Linked DNA regions of Macaca fascicularis. The protein of the gene in region 1 binds, or shares a complex with, the protein of each later gene. Links are inferred from orthologs where the notes say so. Each region holds a gene or a part of one and is shown on either strand. Other genes may lie near its edges.

Region 1 (7,732 bases):
TCAATATTTTTCTTAAGCATATTTCTGAATTTAATATTGAAATCTTTAAGAGGCTAATAAATATAATTAGTATTTATTGTGTCAGCCACACTTGAACATAATAGGCCGGGCGTGGTGGCTCACGCCTATAATCCCAGCACTTTGGGAGGTCAAGGCAGGCAGATCACCTGAGGTCAGGAGTTCAAGACCAGCCTGGCCAACATAGTGAAACCCCGTCTCTACTAAAAATATAAAAATTAACCGGGCGTGATGGTACGTTCTTGTGGTCCCGGCTACTTGGGAGGCTAAGGCAGGACAGTCACTTAAACCTGGGAGGCAGAGGTTGCAGTGCGCCGAGATCGTGACACTACTCCAGCCTGGGCAACAAAGTGAGACTCCATCTCAAAAAAAAAAAAAAAAAAATTGCCCAAAATATTTTAAGTTCCCTCCTCTCCGGAAACTTACATTCTACCAGGGATAGACCAACAGTTAAAAAAACAAGTAGATTGTATACTATGTTAAAAAGTAATACATGCTGTGATTAAAAACAACAACAACAACAACAACCACAACAAAAAACGTGGCGGGGAATGGTGTTGGAAGTGCCAAGAGCTAGGGTGAAGGCCCTAAACTGAGAGCATGCCTGGGACATTTGGAGGAGCAGTAAGGCATGGCCAGAGCATATCAGGCAAGAGGGTGAGCAGCAAGAGGTCAGAGAGGCAGGCAACAGGGGGACAGTCATGGAGGGGCAGTCATGAAAGGATGGTTGGGTCAGGCTATGCAGACTGTTGTAGGGACTTCGGCTTTTTCTCTGAGTAAAATGAGGAGCCACTGCAGGGTTTCAGGCCAAAAAGGAGCTTGATCTGATTTAGGTTTTAATAGAATCATTCTAGATGCTGTGTTTTGCAAAGTTTGTTTGCTGGGGGCAGGGTGGAGGGGCAGTAGAAGCATAGTCTAGGAGAGAACGATGGGTCAGACCAGGGTAGCTGTAGTATTTCTTGATGGCTGAGGTGTTTAGAATATGAGAAAAAGAGAGAAGTAAAGGATTACTCCAGGATTTAGGCTGTTGAGATGGTCAGGGCAATTTATTGCCTACACTAAATTTTCTTTTTTTCTTTTTTTTCTCTCTTTTCCTTCAGTGTCAAGCTATGAACTTGTGTTTGTTATTGCTGTTACTGTATCTGCTTCTAGTTTTGCTCACCTATTTTAGGATATACTACTTTTGTTTAAATCTTCTGTGGGCCAACAAACACAAAAGTTTTAAAGATTGTATATTTGAAATAAGATTGTTGGTTTAACATAGGGGCTCTGAGTGAGAGTTTGTGCTGCTGTATTTAGGAGTAAAGTAAATCAGCCTTAATGCCAGGACTTCTAACAGTTGCATTCTCTGTTGAGGCCATAAGCTTGCTTTTGAATTTGGTTATGTTCTTGATGATTAAGTTTGCCAGAACTCTAAATCTCTGAATGAGAATTCATTTATATTTACTTTATTTGTTTAAACAGGCAAAAGAATGGACCCCAGCGGGAAAAGCAAAACAAGAGAATTCTGCTAAGAAGTTTTATTCTGAATCTGAGGAAGAGGAGGACTCTTCTGATAGTAGCAGTGACAGTGGTGGGTTTTATAATTTATTGGCATGTATTTTTACATAGTAGATTACATTCTATATCTCAGAAACAAGGCCTAATCTATAATATTCAGCAGGTGGTTTTAAGTGAAGTTTGTATTATCAAAATAATCCCTTTCATTTATATATCGCTGTTTACTTTTCAAGGTAATTTTTAATTACTAAATTCTCTTTTTACTTTACAATGTCTCTTGGACAATAGCTAATACATTGGTATAGCTGAAACAGGAACTCATACTTTTCTGAATTCTAAACCATAATGCCTATTATATCTATTGGAAAACATGATTTTATACTTGATAAACTTTTAGTGGAGTCTTTAAAAGTAACTTTCTTTTATAAAAATGTAAAGTTTATTTTATACCTTGAAGAGTCTTTTTCTCTTTCATTTTATACTCATCTCTTTCTGTGAACCTCTATAGAGATAAAGCTAAAATTATTAAGTCTCTATATACTATAAAAAAATCAAACTAAAGATTGAGAGTAACTGTATGCAGTGAAAAGAATGCTGAATAGGAAGGATTTAGAAACCCTGGGTTTTACCTATGCAAATTGAAGAAGGCACCTACTTTTCTCTATATCAGATAAATGAAGGGGTAGAGTTAAATATTTCTTAAAGTCCCTTCATTGCTAAAATTCTGTGAGTGATTTGCCTAATGAAAACTATATTGGAGTCACTTTCTGATGCTCTTATTAACACTTAACCTAATAGGCAAGTCTGCCCCAAGACCAAGTGATACCCAACTTTCTCTAAAATCTTATACCTTGGAGAACCAGGGCCTGTCACTCTTACTTGGTTATCTACTACCCAACTCTAAGGTAATTCACTCTCTTTTCTCTGTGTTCCTTATCAAAAATCTTTGTTTTTAATATCTGATAAATTAATCTGTGATACATTACCTTCTGAAGTAATCAACTGAAAAGTAGAGAAATAATTGAGAAAGTAGATATTAAAAAATATGGAATTTCAGGAGTAATGTAGACCTGTGAGAATTATCTGTGTAATTAATCATGTACTTCTTCATTTTGTAGAATTACATATAGATATTTGTCTACATTATATTTATTCACTAGCCCATGCCTATTCATAGGCTGACCATTTTTAATACATACACGAAATATTCCATTAACATTACAGCTTTTCATGAGTTTGTCTGAATACATGTAATAATGAGTCATGTGGCAGGAGTTCTACTGTAGCTGCCAGAGGAAAAAAGAAAACTTTTCTTGCTAGAAGTTATGAGATTGGCTGGGCGTGGTGGCTCATGCCTGTAATCCCAGCACTTTGGGAGGCTGAGACAGGCAGATCACAAGGTCAGGAGATTGAGACCATACTGGCTAACACGGTGAAACCCCGTCTCTACTAAAAATACAAAAAATTAGCTGGGCGTGGTGGCACGTGCCTGTAATCCCAGCTACTCAGGAGACTGAGGCAGGAGAATGGTGTGAACCCAGGAGGCGGAGGTTACAGTGAGCCGTGATCACACCACTACACTCCAGCCTGGGCAACAGAGCAAGACTCCATCTCAAAAAACAAACAAAAATGTTATAAGATTGTGTTTTCCAGGTAGCAAGTATTTTTGAGAATAAACTAATTTTCTCTAAGATTTTACTGACTCGAAAATTTAAATAATGGTGCCTGAAGTCAGCTGGCCCCAGATTCGTGTTGCAGTCCCATGTGATGACATGAGAGAGTAACTTAGATGCTGTAATTTCTTTTCATCGTTTATAGCATAAGCCAGTTATCTGACTTAATATGTATGTGTGTGTAACTTGGATATTGCCACAAATTTAAAATGTCCTTATTTAGTAGCTTTATTTTAGTAAAATAAACTTTCCTGTTTGTAAATGATGATAATGATGAGCACCTTAACCTGTGGCAGACCCTGTTGTGTTCTAATCACCTTTATATGTTTCAAATCATTTAATCTTCAGAACAACTCTGAAAAGTAACTAGTATTATCCCCATTTGCCGAAAAGGAAACCAAGACCCAGAGAAGTTGAATAACTTGATCAGTTTTACAACTGGCAGGTAGCAGAGCCAGGATCTGAATGCGAACACTAACTTGATAACCCATGCTTGTACCCCTTGCAAGCCATCTTGAAAGAATACAGGCACTCCTAGCTTTTCACTGTGATGGACCTTCCTGATGTTGGTGTTATTTAACCATTAGAATGTTTAATTAAAGGTTGTGTTCCTGCCTAAGAGGGCTTCGTTACGTAGATCACAGGCAGGGCAACAGTTTGTCCTTTTGTCTAGGACACAACTCTGTAGTTGTAGTCATTTTAAATAGTAAAAAATACACATATATTTTTCATGTGTTCTCTTCTGCAGAGAGTCCTAGCATACCATAATTTATACATAAAACATTTAAAAGTATAATTCCTCAATGTAACTTGATCATCTCTTTGACCTATGGAAAACTCCTTTACTAGCTCGAATAAGTAATAACTCTTTAATTAGTCATTTGCCTATTGTCTTTGAATTTGGAAGTTTTTCCAGGTGATTTGAATGGCTCATTTTCCTCTCAAAATTTGTTCCTAAGAAGATTAAACTGTTGCCTTCTTTTACTCTAAATAGAATTTCCCATTACAAGCAGAAGAATTTAAAATTATTTCTTTAGCCTTACATCAATCTTTATGTAATTCTTTAAAAGAAAGTTTTTGACAAAGCTATATACTTTGGGGTTTGAAAAGTGAGATTCCCTCAAATTTGGTTTACTTGGTTCATCTTTGCTTAGCTTTTCTCTACTCATTGTCAGAGCATCCTCTCTCTGTCTGCCTCCCTCCAAACTCACCGTGCTAAAGGAATCCATAGAGCTGAAAGAATGGGGTATGGGAATGAAATGTTAAACACGTGGTGTCCACTGAACTAAAATTCAACATCTGGTTTCATTTGAGATGAATATTGACAGTTACAGGTGTCCGTGTGTCTAATTAAATGACTATAAATCTAAGAACATCTGGTTCTGTTTTTCAGAGAGTGAATCTGGAAGTGAAAGTGGAGAGCAAGGCGAAAGTGGGGAGGAAGGAGACAGCAATGAGGACAGCAGTGAGGACTCCTCCAGTGAGCAGGACAGTGAGAGTGGAAGGGAGTCAGGCCTAGAAAACAAAAGAACAGCCAAGAGGAACTCAAAAGCCAAAGGAAAAAGGTAATGTATTTTGTCAGAATTTCCTTCAAAAAATATTCTGTGAAAGTTTGCCCCAGGCAGATGTTTCTTGTTAATCAAAAAATGATGAGAGAAAAGAAGTGTGTATTTTTTCCCAAACAGATATTAAATCTTTTTAAAATTAAAGTGCTAGTTCACATTATTTTCCTACTTGTAATGCTTAGCTTTCATTTTGAACTTGAACATATCTTGGGGTTACATTTTGAAAATTGGTATAACCTTGGAAGGCTGAGTTAAGTGATCAAGCAATAGGTATGAAACACTTAATTACCTTTTGTAGCAATTTTGCTGAGGGCTAAAATTAAATCCTTCAACACTTTGCCATTATGTAACCAAGACAATTGATTTTTCTAAATAATGTTATATTAAAAAGATTATGATCCAAATATTAGAGTCAAGGGCTGTGAAGGAAGACGGTCATAAGAGCTTTAAGTGTTAGCACTTTTTAAGATCTCCCATTATCAACAACATTATCATGTATTAAAGTGTCATTAAAATTTTGAGTAATTGGGGCTAATATCTTGGATTGTGCAACTCTGTTTTCCCCACTGCTGTCAGTGAGTGGCCTCTGCCGACATGATGGTCCTTTCCCCAGGAGCCTGCTGCCCGCTCACTTGATGAGCTTGCAGCTCGGCTCAGTCGTGGCTGACAGCACTGATTGGGGCGCAGTACGCTCTCTGCTCCTTTTATTACAGACAGTAATTAAAGCAGCTCGCCCTGCCACTTCCATAACAAACACAGCATAATGCCCTAATTATGACTTTATTAATTTAAGTCAGGATTTAATGATTTTAAAAGTGATTTATATTGTTTTTCCTGTTCAGAACAAATGAAATCTGTAGGTTAAATTAATACAGGCTTTTCATCATTGCAAAGTTAGAAACCTAGTTACCAGTAAATTCTTTTCATTAGATTAACATCTGAAACTCTAAGCAGTAAGGTAAACAATAATTACCATCAAAATTGAGTGATGCATAATAAAATAACACTTTTACTTTTAAAATCTTATCTTAAAAGCTGGAAGTTAAATATATTTAGAATCATTCACTTGTTGCAGCAAAGGAGCTACTTGGTTTATAATAGCCTTGTCTTTGAGAGAAATCCTGTACTTCTGGTTTAATATCAGAATATCTATGATGATATGAGTTATAAAACATGTCTTGTTTCTAGAAAGGGAAAGTTTTGTTCAGTGCATGAAATGTCCTTTCAGATGGCAGAAGTCAGTATACTAGAAATTTGTAGTCATGTATTAGTTTTATTATTCCTTTCTTCAGAAATAGATTTTTCTCTTTACCCACATTTGAATTTAAAAGAATTGTTTATTACAAAGAGAACCACAAATACATTCTAAACCTTATATTTTTAAGTACACATTTTAACCAGTGAATTGGGGATAATAAATTGCCGTTTTTTTGCCAGGGAAAAACAACAACATATTTTTCAGTCTTCAAATATAATTACATGTGCTCTGAGATGTTGCCATGGCTCCATTTTTAATAAACAGCAATCATATTTCCTCTACAAAAATCAATTCTAGGAAATATCGATTCTTTCCTTGCCTCACTCCTCTCCCTCCCCCAGTATTTTTCTGCCTCTTAGAATGTTTTTTTAACTTTGCTAGTATGATAATTTTTTAAAGCTCTTAATAAGCTTTAAGCATCTTCAAAAACCACCCTTTAGTAATCATAAATATTTATGACCGAATTTAAATTTTACACTCCAAAGTGTTTTCATTTGAAGGGAGATAGTATGACATAGTGGAAAAAATACGGACTTTGGAGTGAGACAGGCTTGAGTTCAGATTCTAGTTCTGCCCCTCTTGTTATGTGTCCCTGAGCAAGTTATTTAACCTTTCTGAATATTAATTTCATTATTGTAAATGGGATAATAATGTACCCAGGAAGAGTGCATTTAAATTAGGTAATCAGTATGATTGGTATGAAATGCCTAGCCCTTTCTGGCCCACAGTAGATTCTTAAAAATATACACACACATGTTGTAGAGAGAACTAGACTTTTAGTTTCCAGGAAAATATAAAACACCACAAGGCATCTCTCATCCCCTGAGATAAGGGTGTTTGGTCATCTCACATGTTATTCCTTCTCCTTGGAGAGCTGCTTCCCTGCCCATCTGCCAGCCTTACTCCTATATCTTGGCTTATATGTCTCTTTCTCCAGGAAGCATTCCTAATTGGATTAAGTTTGTTTAGGTGTCTCTCCAAATGTTCTCCTGACACACTATAATTTATTACTTACTATACTGTATTATCACTGCCACCTTATCTATATCCTCCAGTGGACTGTAGACTCTGTAGGGTAGACACACATAGATCCTCTTAACCATTGTTATCCTTAGCACCTAACATAATGCCAACATGTAGTCAAAAATTAATTAATATTTGTTGAGCAGATGAACAAATGAACAAATGAATGGTGTTAAGCACTTAGGTATGATCATTTGGTAATTTAAAAGTTTATATTTGATTAGCTTAAATTTGTAGCAAGATAGTACTTTAGAAGTTCCTTTGTTAACCAGAAACACATTTCTCATAGAATGTGTTTAAGGTCACATTTGAGAACTTGTAGTAAGTAATTTTCTTGGGTAGAAAAGTGTATAAAATACAAGTCTATTTTAGCAAAAGTAGATATATAAATATTTAAATATATTACTAAACCGGGTGTGGTGGCTCAAGCGTGTAATCCCAACATTTTGGTAGGCCGAGTTGGGAGGATTACTTGAGCCCAGGAGTTCCAGACCAGCCTAGGCAATATCGTGAGACCCTGTCTCTACAAAAAATATAAAATTAGCTGGATGTGGTAGTGCCCGCCTGTAGTCCCAACTACTTGTGAGGCTGAAGTGGGAGAATCGCTTGAGCCTGGGAGATCGAGGCTGCAGTGAGCCATGATTGCACCACTGTACTCCAGCCTAGATGACAATGAGACCCTGTCTCCAATATAT
Region 2 (7,732 bases), on another chromosome or scaffold:
CAAAAAAAAAAAAAGAAAGAAAATTGAAGTCCTTTGGCAGTATGGTTTCAGTAGAAAGGCATTCATTATCTGATGATTTTTAAATCTGTTTGTTAGTTTGTTTGTTTATTTATTTATTTGAGATGGGATCTCACTGTTGCCCAGGCTGGAGTGCAGTGACATGATCTCGGCTCACTGGAACCTTCACCTCCTGGGTTCAAGCGATCCTGCTGCCTCAGCTTCCCAAGTAGCTGGGATTACAGGCATGAGCCACCATACCTGGCTAATTTTTTTTTTCAGATGCAGTTTCGCTCTCATTGCCCAGGCTGGAGTGCAATGGTGCAGTCTCGGCTCACCACAACCTCTGCCTCCCAGGTTCAAGCGATTCTTCTGCCTCAGCCTCCCATGTACCTGGGATTACAGGCATACACCACCACGCCCAGCTAATATTGTGTTTTTAATAGAGATAGCGTTTCTCCATGTTGCTCAGGGCTGGTCTCGAACTCCTGACCTCAGGTGATCCGCCTGTTTCAGTCTCCCAAAGTGCTAGAATTACAAGCGTGAGTCATTGCTCCTGGCCCTGGCTCATTTTTTGTATTTTTAGTAGAGACGCAGTTTCACAATGTTGGCCAGGCTGGTCTCGAGCTCCGGACCTCAAGTGATACCTGCCTTGGCCTCCCAAAGTGCTGGGATTACAGGTGTGAGCCACTGCACCTGGCCCATAAATCTGTTTATTTTGCCCATAGGTTCCATATAATTTTCATAACCACTAGTTGAGGTCTGCCAAACATGTAAATCAGAACTGATAATGCCTTACTTTAAGCTAATTATTACCCTATGTAACTCTACCTCTTGCTATTTATTCCTTCTAACATTTATTGAAAATCTACCATATACCATGCTTTTGCTACTACATTATGTGCAGTACTTCTGATAAAAGCCCCTATCTTTTCACTTTCTTTCTTTTTTTTTTAAATACAGGGTCTTGCTCTTTTGCCCAGACTAGAGTGCACTGGTGCAGTCCCTACTTACTGCAGCCTTGACCTCCAGCTCATGCGATCCTCCTACCTCAGACTCCTGAGTAGCCTATAGTCCCAGCCAATCAGGAGGTACACACCACATGCCACCATGCCTGGCTAGCTTTTATTTTTATTTTTTGTACAGACAGAGTCTCACCATGTTGCCCAGGCTGGTCTTGAACTCCTGGGCTCGAGCAGTTTACCTACCTCAATCTCCCAAAGTGCTGAGATTACAGGCATCAGCCACCACACCCAATCTAATTATCTTTTTAACCAGACAAAACAATGGTACTCTATAAGAATCATAAAATTTTATTATTAAAAATAGCAGCCGGACATGGTGGATCACTCCTGTAGTTCCAGCGCTTTGGGAGGCCATGGCAGGCAGATCACTTGAGGTCAGGAGTTCAAGAACAGCCTGGCCAACATGGTAAAACCTCGTCTCTACTATAAATACTAAAATTAACTGGGCATGGTGGCAGGCGCCTGTAATCCCAGCTACTCGGGAGGCCGAGGCAGGAGAATTGCTTGACCCCAGGAGGCAGAGGTTGCAGTGAGCCAAGACTGCACCACTGCACTCTAGCCTGGGTGACAGAGCGAGACTCCATCTCAAAAAAAAAAAAAAATTAGTCCTTCCCTTGCATTTATTTTATACATAAGGAAAGCCCAGAAGGGTTAAGTGAACTGTTCCAAGTCACACAACTTGTTAACATGTAGTGATGGTTTATTGTGAATTATAGTCAATATCTTCTCTTCCATGAGTGCCCTTTTCATTATAACATTCCATCTTATAGAATAACAGATTTTTGCCAGGCACGGTGGCTCACACCTGTAATCCCAGCACTTTGGGAGGCTTAGGCAGTAAGATCACTTGAGCCCAGGAGTTGAAGAGCAGCCTAGGCAACATAGCGAGACTCCGTATCTATCAAAAATTTAAAAGATTAGCTAGGCATGGGTTCCTTAATCCCACCTATTCAGGAGGCTGAGGCAGGAGAATTGCTCGAGCCCAGGAGTTCAATGCTGTAGTGAGCTATGTTCACACCACTGTACTCCAGCCTGGATGGCAGAGGGAGACCCTGTCTCTAAAAGAAAGAGAGATCTTTCTATTATGGATCCTATTTCTTAAAAGTTGACTTAGTCCATTTCATAATACCCTTGCCTCATTTTAAAATTCTATTGAAAATGTTTTTGGTTTGTTTTATTTTGTTTTTGAGACAGAGTCTCACATTGTCGCCCAGGCTGTAGTACAGTGTTGCGGTCTCGGCTCACTGCAACCTCCGCCTTCTGGGTTCAAGCAATTCTCCTGCCTCAGCCTCTCAAGTAGCTGGGACTACAAGCACACACCACCACGCCTGGCTAATTTTTTGTATTTTTAGTAGAGACGGGGTTTCGCCATGTTACCCAGGCTGGTCCCAAACTCCTGAGCTCAGATAATCTACCCACTTCGGCTTCCCTAAACGCTGGGATTACAGGCATGAGCCACTGTGCCTGGCCTCATATGTTTTAAACTCATATCCAGTCATCTTACAGGGTTGGCTCCATAAAGGAGACAGTTTAATTTTCCTTAGAATTAGCATATTCTGGCTGGGTATGGTAGTTCGCACCTGTAATCCCAGCACTTTGGGAGGCTGAGGTAGGCAGATTGCTTGAGCCCAGGAGTTCGAGACCAACCTGGGCAATGTAACAAGACCCTGTCTCTACAAAAAAATACAAAAATTAGCCAGGCATGGAGGTGCATGCCTGTAGTACCAGCTGCTTGGGAGGCTGAGGTGGGAGGATTGCTTGAGCCCAGGAGGTTGAGGCTGCAGTGAGCCGTGATAGCACTACTACACTCCAACCTGGGTGACAGAGAAAGACCCTGTCTCAAAAAAAAAAAAAAAAATTATATTCTACAGTGGCATACCTGTAGTCCCAGTTACTGTGGGGGCCAGCTGGGACTAGCTAGTAAGACCTCATCTCTTAAAAAAAAAGAAAAATTATCATATTCCAACCAGAGTTAGGTATGGACCTTGTTCCCTGACCTGTTAATAGAGATGTAAAGCTTCAGTAAGTCTGACACCCAGAGGGTATCTCCATTATTCTAAATATAGTGATTGTTGGGCTAGGTGTCATGGCACGCGCCTATATTCCCAGCTATTCGGGAGGCTAGGGCGGGAGGATTACTTGAGCCCAGGAGTGAGGCTGCAGTGAGCTGTGATCGTGCCACTGCACTCCAACCTTGGCAACAGAGCAAGACTCTGTCTCTAAAAACAATAAATAAATAAAAATAAAAAGATATAGTGATAGCTCTAGTTAAGACTCATATTCCGTTGATGTTATCTTCCTTTTTCTTTCTTTCTTCAGGATCTACAGTCTTTGCAGAAATTCAGGGGGTCATTGATGCTTGCATTAAACTATCTGGAATGCCCGATCTCTCCCTTTCTTTCATGGTAAGTTTTATTCTCCTGTTTTATAGCCCCTTGAATGCCTAATACATGTGAAGTACTAAATGAAATGATAAATATTGAGATAAGTTTGCATCTTAGATTGCAAAGGATTGTCTCAGAAATATTCCTAGCAGAGTTTCCTAAGACAGGCACTTACATGATGAGCGTGGTCTTTATGGAAAGGCTAAGGGAGGTCTTTGCCTGAGTGTGCTAGAAAGGGCTTAAAATTGGCTGGCTGGCTTCTGCAAATATCCAGTATCATTTTTACTGAGTAATTATTTGCTTTGCTGATATGAAAGGACATTGGTCTTTTGTATCATTTTAGAGTCAGCATGACATACTGCTAGGAACAATTAAGAGAACTGACTTCTGGTGTTGTCACCAGTTTGTTCTGACCTTAAGTCCTCTGAACCTCAGTTTTTTAATCTGTTAAAGGGAAATAATACTACTTGCCTTTTCTCCTTTATGGTTATTGAAATTCAATAAAATAATGTACATAAAATATTTACAAACTTTAAAGCATTGTGAAACTATAAGGTTGTGTAGATGTGGTCATAAACTCTTCCATGACTGCTTTATCTTCAGGGAACATATTGATTTGTCAAGGTATCTAAGTACAGTTCCCATATTCATTATGCTCTATGAACACGGCTGTCTTCTGTTTTCTTGACAGAACCCTAGGCTTCTGGATGACGTCAGCTTCCACCCCTGCATCCGGTTCAAGCGTTGGGAATCTGAAAGAGTTTTGTCATTTATTCCTCCAGATGGAAATTTCCGACTCATATCATACCGTGTCAGCTCACAAAAGTATGTTGATGCATCAGCCAGAATCTGCCATCATACATATCAAGCAGAACTCACCTTTCCCTGTTCCTTTATGACAGTTGAGTACTTGAGGTCGTCATTGCTCACTTTAACCATAGCTCACCGGGAGACCCAGTGAGAACTGGTGAAAATACGCACCTAAAATATCAGTATACTTTGAATGTATGAGTGTAGAGTGGTACTAAGTGAGACTAGAGTAAAATCTATAGCCAAGGGCAAGCAAACCATGCATAACCTGGGCAAAAGGTTTTGGTACTGGTTCTTTGCAAGGTTACGCATTGTCAAATTATGGCGCTGGTTCTTTGCTCAGGTTATGCACGGTCCATTTTGCTCTGCTTCTGACAGCTGAGTACTTTGCAAGCAGAGCAAAATGGACTGTGCATAACCTGGGCAAAACCATGAACCACTGCCATAATCTTACCATAGTCTGTAGACTTTGTGGCTAACAAGGAGACAGACCTACCTGTAGTTCGTGAGGACATTCCCAAACTTACCTGCTTCAAGTCAGTCTTCTCTGCTTCGAGGTTTTAAGGAACTGTTTAGCATTGAGAGCCGGGTGCAGTGGTTCACTCCTGTAATCCCAACACTTTGGGAGGCCAGTGTGGGCAGATCACTTGAGGTCAGGAGTTCTAGACCAGTCTGGTCAACGTGGTGAAACCTTGTCTCTACTAAAAATACAAAATTAGCCAGGCGTGATAGCGTGTGCCTATAATCTCAACTACTTGGGAGGCTGAGGCATGAGAATCACTTGAACCTGGAAGGCAGAGGTTGCAGTGACAGATCATGCCACTGCACTCCAGCCTGGCCAAGAGGGTGAAATTGCATCTCAAAAAAATAAAAAAAAATTTAGCATTGGGGATCGTAGTTTTATAGCTAGTTTGTTTCTTGAAAATACCAGAAGTTATTTGAGTAACATTATGACAGGACTCAAAAGCAGACAAATTATTTCTTGGCTCTTTTTTTCTTTGAACCGGAGTTCGGCTCTTGTTGCTCAGACTGGAGTGCAGTGGTGAAATTTTGGCTTACCTCAACCTCCACCTCTAGGGTTCAAGTGATTCTCTGCCTCAGCCTCCCAAGTAGCTGGGATTACATGCATGTACCACCACGCCCGGCTAATTTTGTGTTTTTAGTAGAGACAGGGTTTCTCCATGTTGGTCAGGCTGGTCTCGAACTCCCGACCTTGGGTGATCCGCCCACCTCAGCCTCCCAAAGTCCTGGGATTACAGGCGTGAGCCACCGCACCCAGCCTGTTTCTTGACTCATCACATAGGAACTGTTTTCATTTATATAAAACATATTTTACATTATTTTTCAGTGGGATCGTAATTCATTTTTTTAAACTAGGGCCATTTGCCCCAATTGTTTTTTTTTTGTTTGTTTGTTTTATGTTTTTTTGGTTTTTTTGTTTGTTTGTTTTGAGACGGAGTTTCACTGTTGTCGCCCAGGCTGGAGTACAATTCTGTGATCTTGGCTTATGGCAACCTCTACCTCCTGGGTTCAAGTGATTCTTCTGCCTCAGCCTCCCAAGTAGCTGGGATTACAGGCGCCCGCCACCGCGCCCAGCTAATTTTTGTTTCTTGTTACTTTTTTTAGTAGAGAGGGGGTTTCACCATGTTGGCCAGGCTGATCTCAAACTCCTGACCTCCAGTGATCTGCCTGCCTTGGCCTCCCAAAGTGCCAGGATTACAGGCATGAGCCACTGCACCCAGCCACCCCCAATTGTTTATACTGTTATTAAACTTCAGATTTCTGTCTTGATTTGTATACAGTTCCCAGCACAGTGGTACCAGAACATTATGCTATACTCAGCTCCCCCTTGTGTAGATGCTGAATCTGCAGTTCTGGAGGTACCGCCATCTTGGTATCCTTGGAGGATTGGTTGCAAAAATCAGCAGATGCTCAAGTCCCTTATATAAAATGGTGTAGTATTTGCATATAACCTATGCACATCCTCCTGGGTACTTAAAATCATCTCCAAGTTACTTGTGATAGTACACTGTAAACACTGTGTAAATAATTGTTATACCAGGTTGACTTTTTATTTTTATTATATTTTGTAGTTGTATTGTTATTTTTTTTTTTTTCTTTTTTTTTTTTGAGATGGAATCTCGCTCCGTTGCCCAGGCTGGAGTGCAGAGGCGCAATCTCAGCTCACTGCAATCTCCACTTCCCAGGTTCAAGTAATTCTCCTGCCTCAGCCTTCTGAGTAGCTGGGACTACAGGCACAAGCCACCACACCCAGCTAATTTTTGTATTTTTAGTAGAGACGAGGTTTCACCATGTTGGCCAGGCTGGTCTTGAACTCCTCACCTCAGCCTCCCAAAGTACTGGGATTACAAGTGTGAGCCACCACACCCAGCCTCAGCTAATTTTTGTATTTTTGTAGAGATGAGGTTTCACTATGTTGGCCAGGCTGGTCTCAAACTCCTGACCTCAGGTGATCCCCTCCCACCGCCGGTCTCGGCCTCCCAAAGTGCCGGGATTACAGGCATGAGCCACCACGCCTGGCCGATAGTGTTAAATAATATTTTCAGTCCTCAACTGGTCAAATTCAAGGATGCATAACTGTGGCTACAGAGAGCCAACTCTGTAGCACCTTATTGTGGAGTTAAAGGTACAGTAGGATACTCTGGACAGAGGTTTTCAGGATACCTCTGATGCTTTCCCCACACCATTAATTGTGTTTATGCTTTTGTATCTTTCTCTGTTTCTCTTTTTAGTCTAGTGGCAATACCAGTGTATGTGAAACATAGTATCAGCTTTAAAGAGAACAGTTCTTGTGGCAGATTTGATATAACAATTGGACCAAAGCAGAATATGGGGAAAACTATTGAAGGAATTACAGTGACAGTTCACATGCCAAAAGTTGTGCTGAACATGAACCTGACAACCACACAAGGCAGCTATACATTTGATCCAGTCACCAAGGTACAGCCACTTCAAATCAAGAGTGAGCAAGTGTTTCTGCAATCTATTTTGTGATTTGTGGGGAGGAATGGAGGGAAAGGTTTAGCACCTTGTTTAAAACTAAAGTTCGTATCAAAACCTAGAGAGTATACTGTGCTGTGCTTCTGCCACTGGCTGCCAAAGGAATCCTGCAGCTGCTACTGAGCAGATGAACAGAAAAGTGTGTCATTCTGTCCTTTTTCAGAATGTGCCTTCACTCATCCATTATTAATCCAGAGCCTCTGCTATCTAATAAGAAAGAAGTAAAAGCTTTTTTAAAAAGAGAAAACATTATGTAGAAGAAGATATTATGATGGTATATGAATTATTAAGTTTTCTATATAAATTGATCATTAAGACCTTTTTCTTCCTTTTTAATTTAAAAGCATCATTTCATACTCTTTCACAGGGCTAGGAAAGCTGCTTCCTCACCCTACTTAAATTTTCCTGTAGCAGAGGGTTTTCAGAGAAACTGTAGCAGATGATTTTCTCTCAGCTTCCTGATTAGCTAGTAAATATGATTGTTTTCAATAGCAG

The links. The genes of interacting proteins can lie anywhere in the genome.
Region 2: the proteins of AP3B1 (region 1) and AP3M1 are in contact, whole or in part, in a cryo-EM structure (PDB 9C5A), measured with the Homo sapiens proteins. The link is inferred for Macaca fascicularis from reciprocal best matches to the Homo sapiens genes AP3B1 and AP3M1. Residues at the interface, in NP_003655.3 of Homo sapiens: Leu60, Lys64, Val67, Gly68, Ile70, Ala71, Lys72, Gly73, Ile92, Glu93, Lys96, Leu97, Val100, Arg104, Glu107, Asn128, Gln129, Leu130, Arg137, Arg143, Ser163, Pro164, Tyr165, Lys168, Asn169, His172, Gln175, Lys176, Leu202, Ser206; in NP_001307192.1 of Homo sapiens: Met1, Phe15, Leu16, Glu17, Trp20, Lys21, Ser22, Val23, Gln26, Val42, Glu43, Asn44, Val45, Pro46, Pro47, Val48, Ser50, Tyr55, Ser58, Ile59, Tyr60, Gln71, Thr72, Glu73, Val74, Pro75, Pro76, Leu77, Phe78, Ile80.

The regions. Positions count from the first base shown.
Region 1 is NC_088380.1:82,073,448-82,081,179, reverse strand, and holds part of AP3B1 (AP-3 complex subunit beta-1), read left to right. Parts: intron 1-1,482; coding exon 1,483-1,591; intron 1,592-4,584; coding exon 4,585-4,756; intron 4,757-7,732. UniProt on the Homo sapiens protein: Subunit of non-clathrin- and clathrin-associated adaptor protein complex 3 (AP-3) that plays a role in protein sorting in the late-Golgi/trans-Golgi network (TGN) and/or endosomes.
Region 2 is NC_088383.1:72,308,856-72,316,587, forward strand, and holds part of AP3M1 (AP-3 complex subunit mu-1), read left to right. Parts: intron 1-3,341; coding exon 3,342-3,427; intron 3,428-4,097; coding exon 4,098-4,231; intron 4,232-6,969; coding exon 6,970-7,177; exon of another isoform or gene 7,178-7,199; intron 7,200-7,732. UniProt on the Homo sapiens protein: Part of the AP-3 complex, an adaptor-related complex which is not clathrin-associated. The complex is associated with the Golgi region as well as more peripheral structures.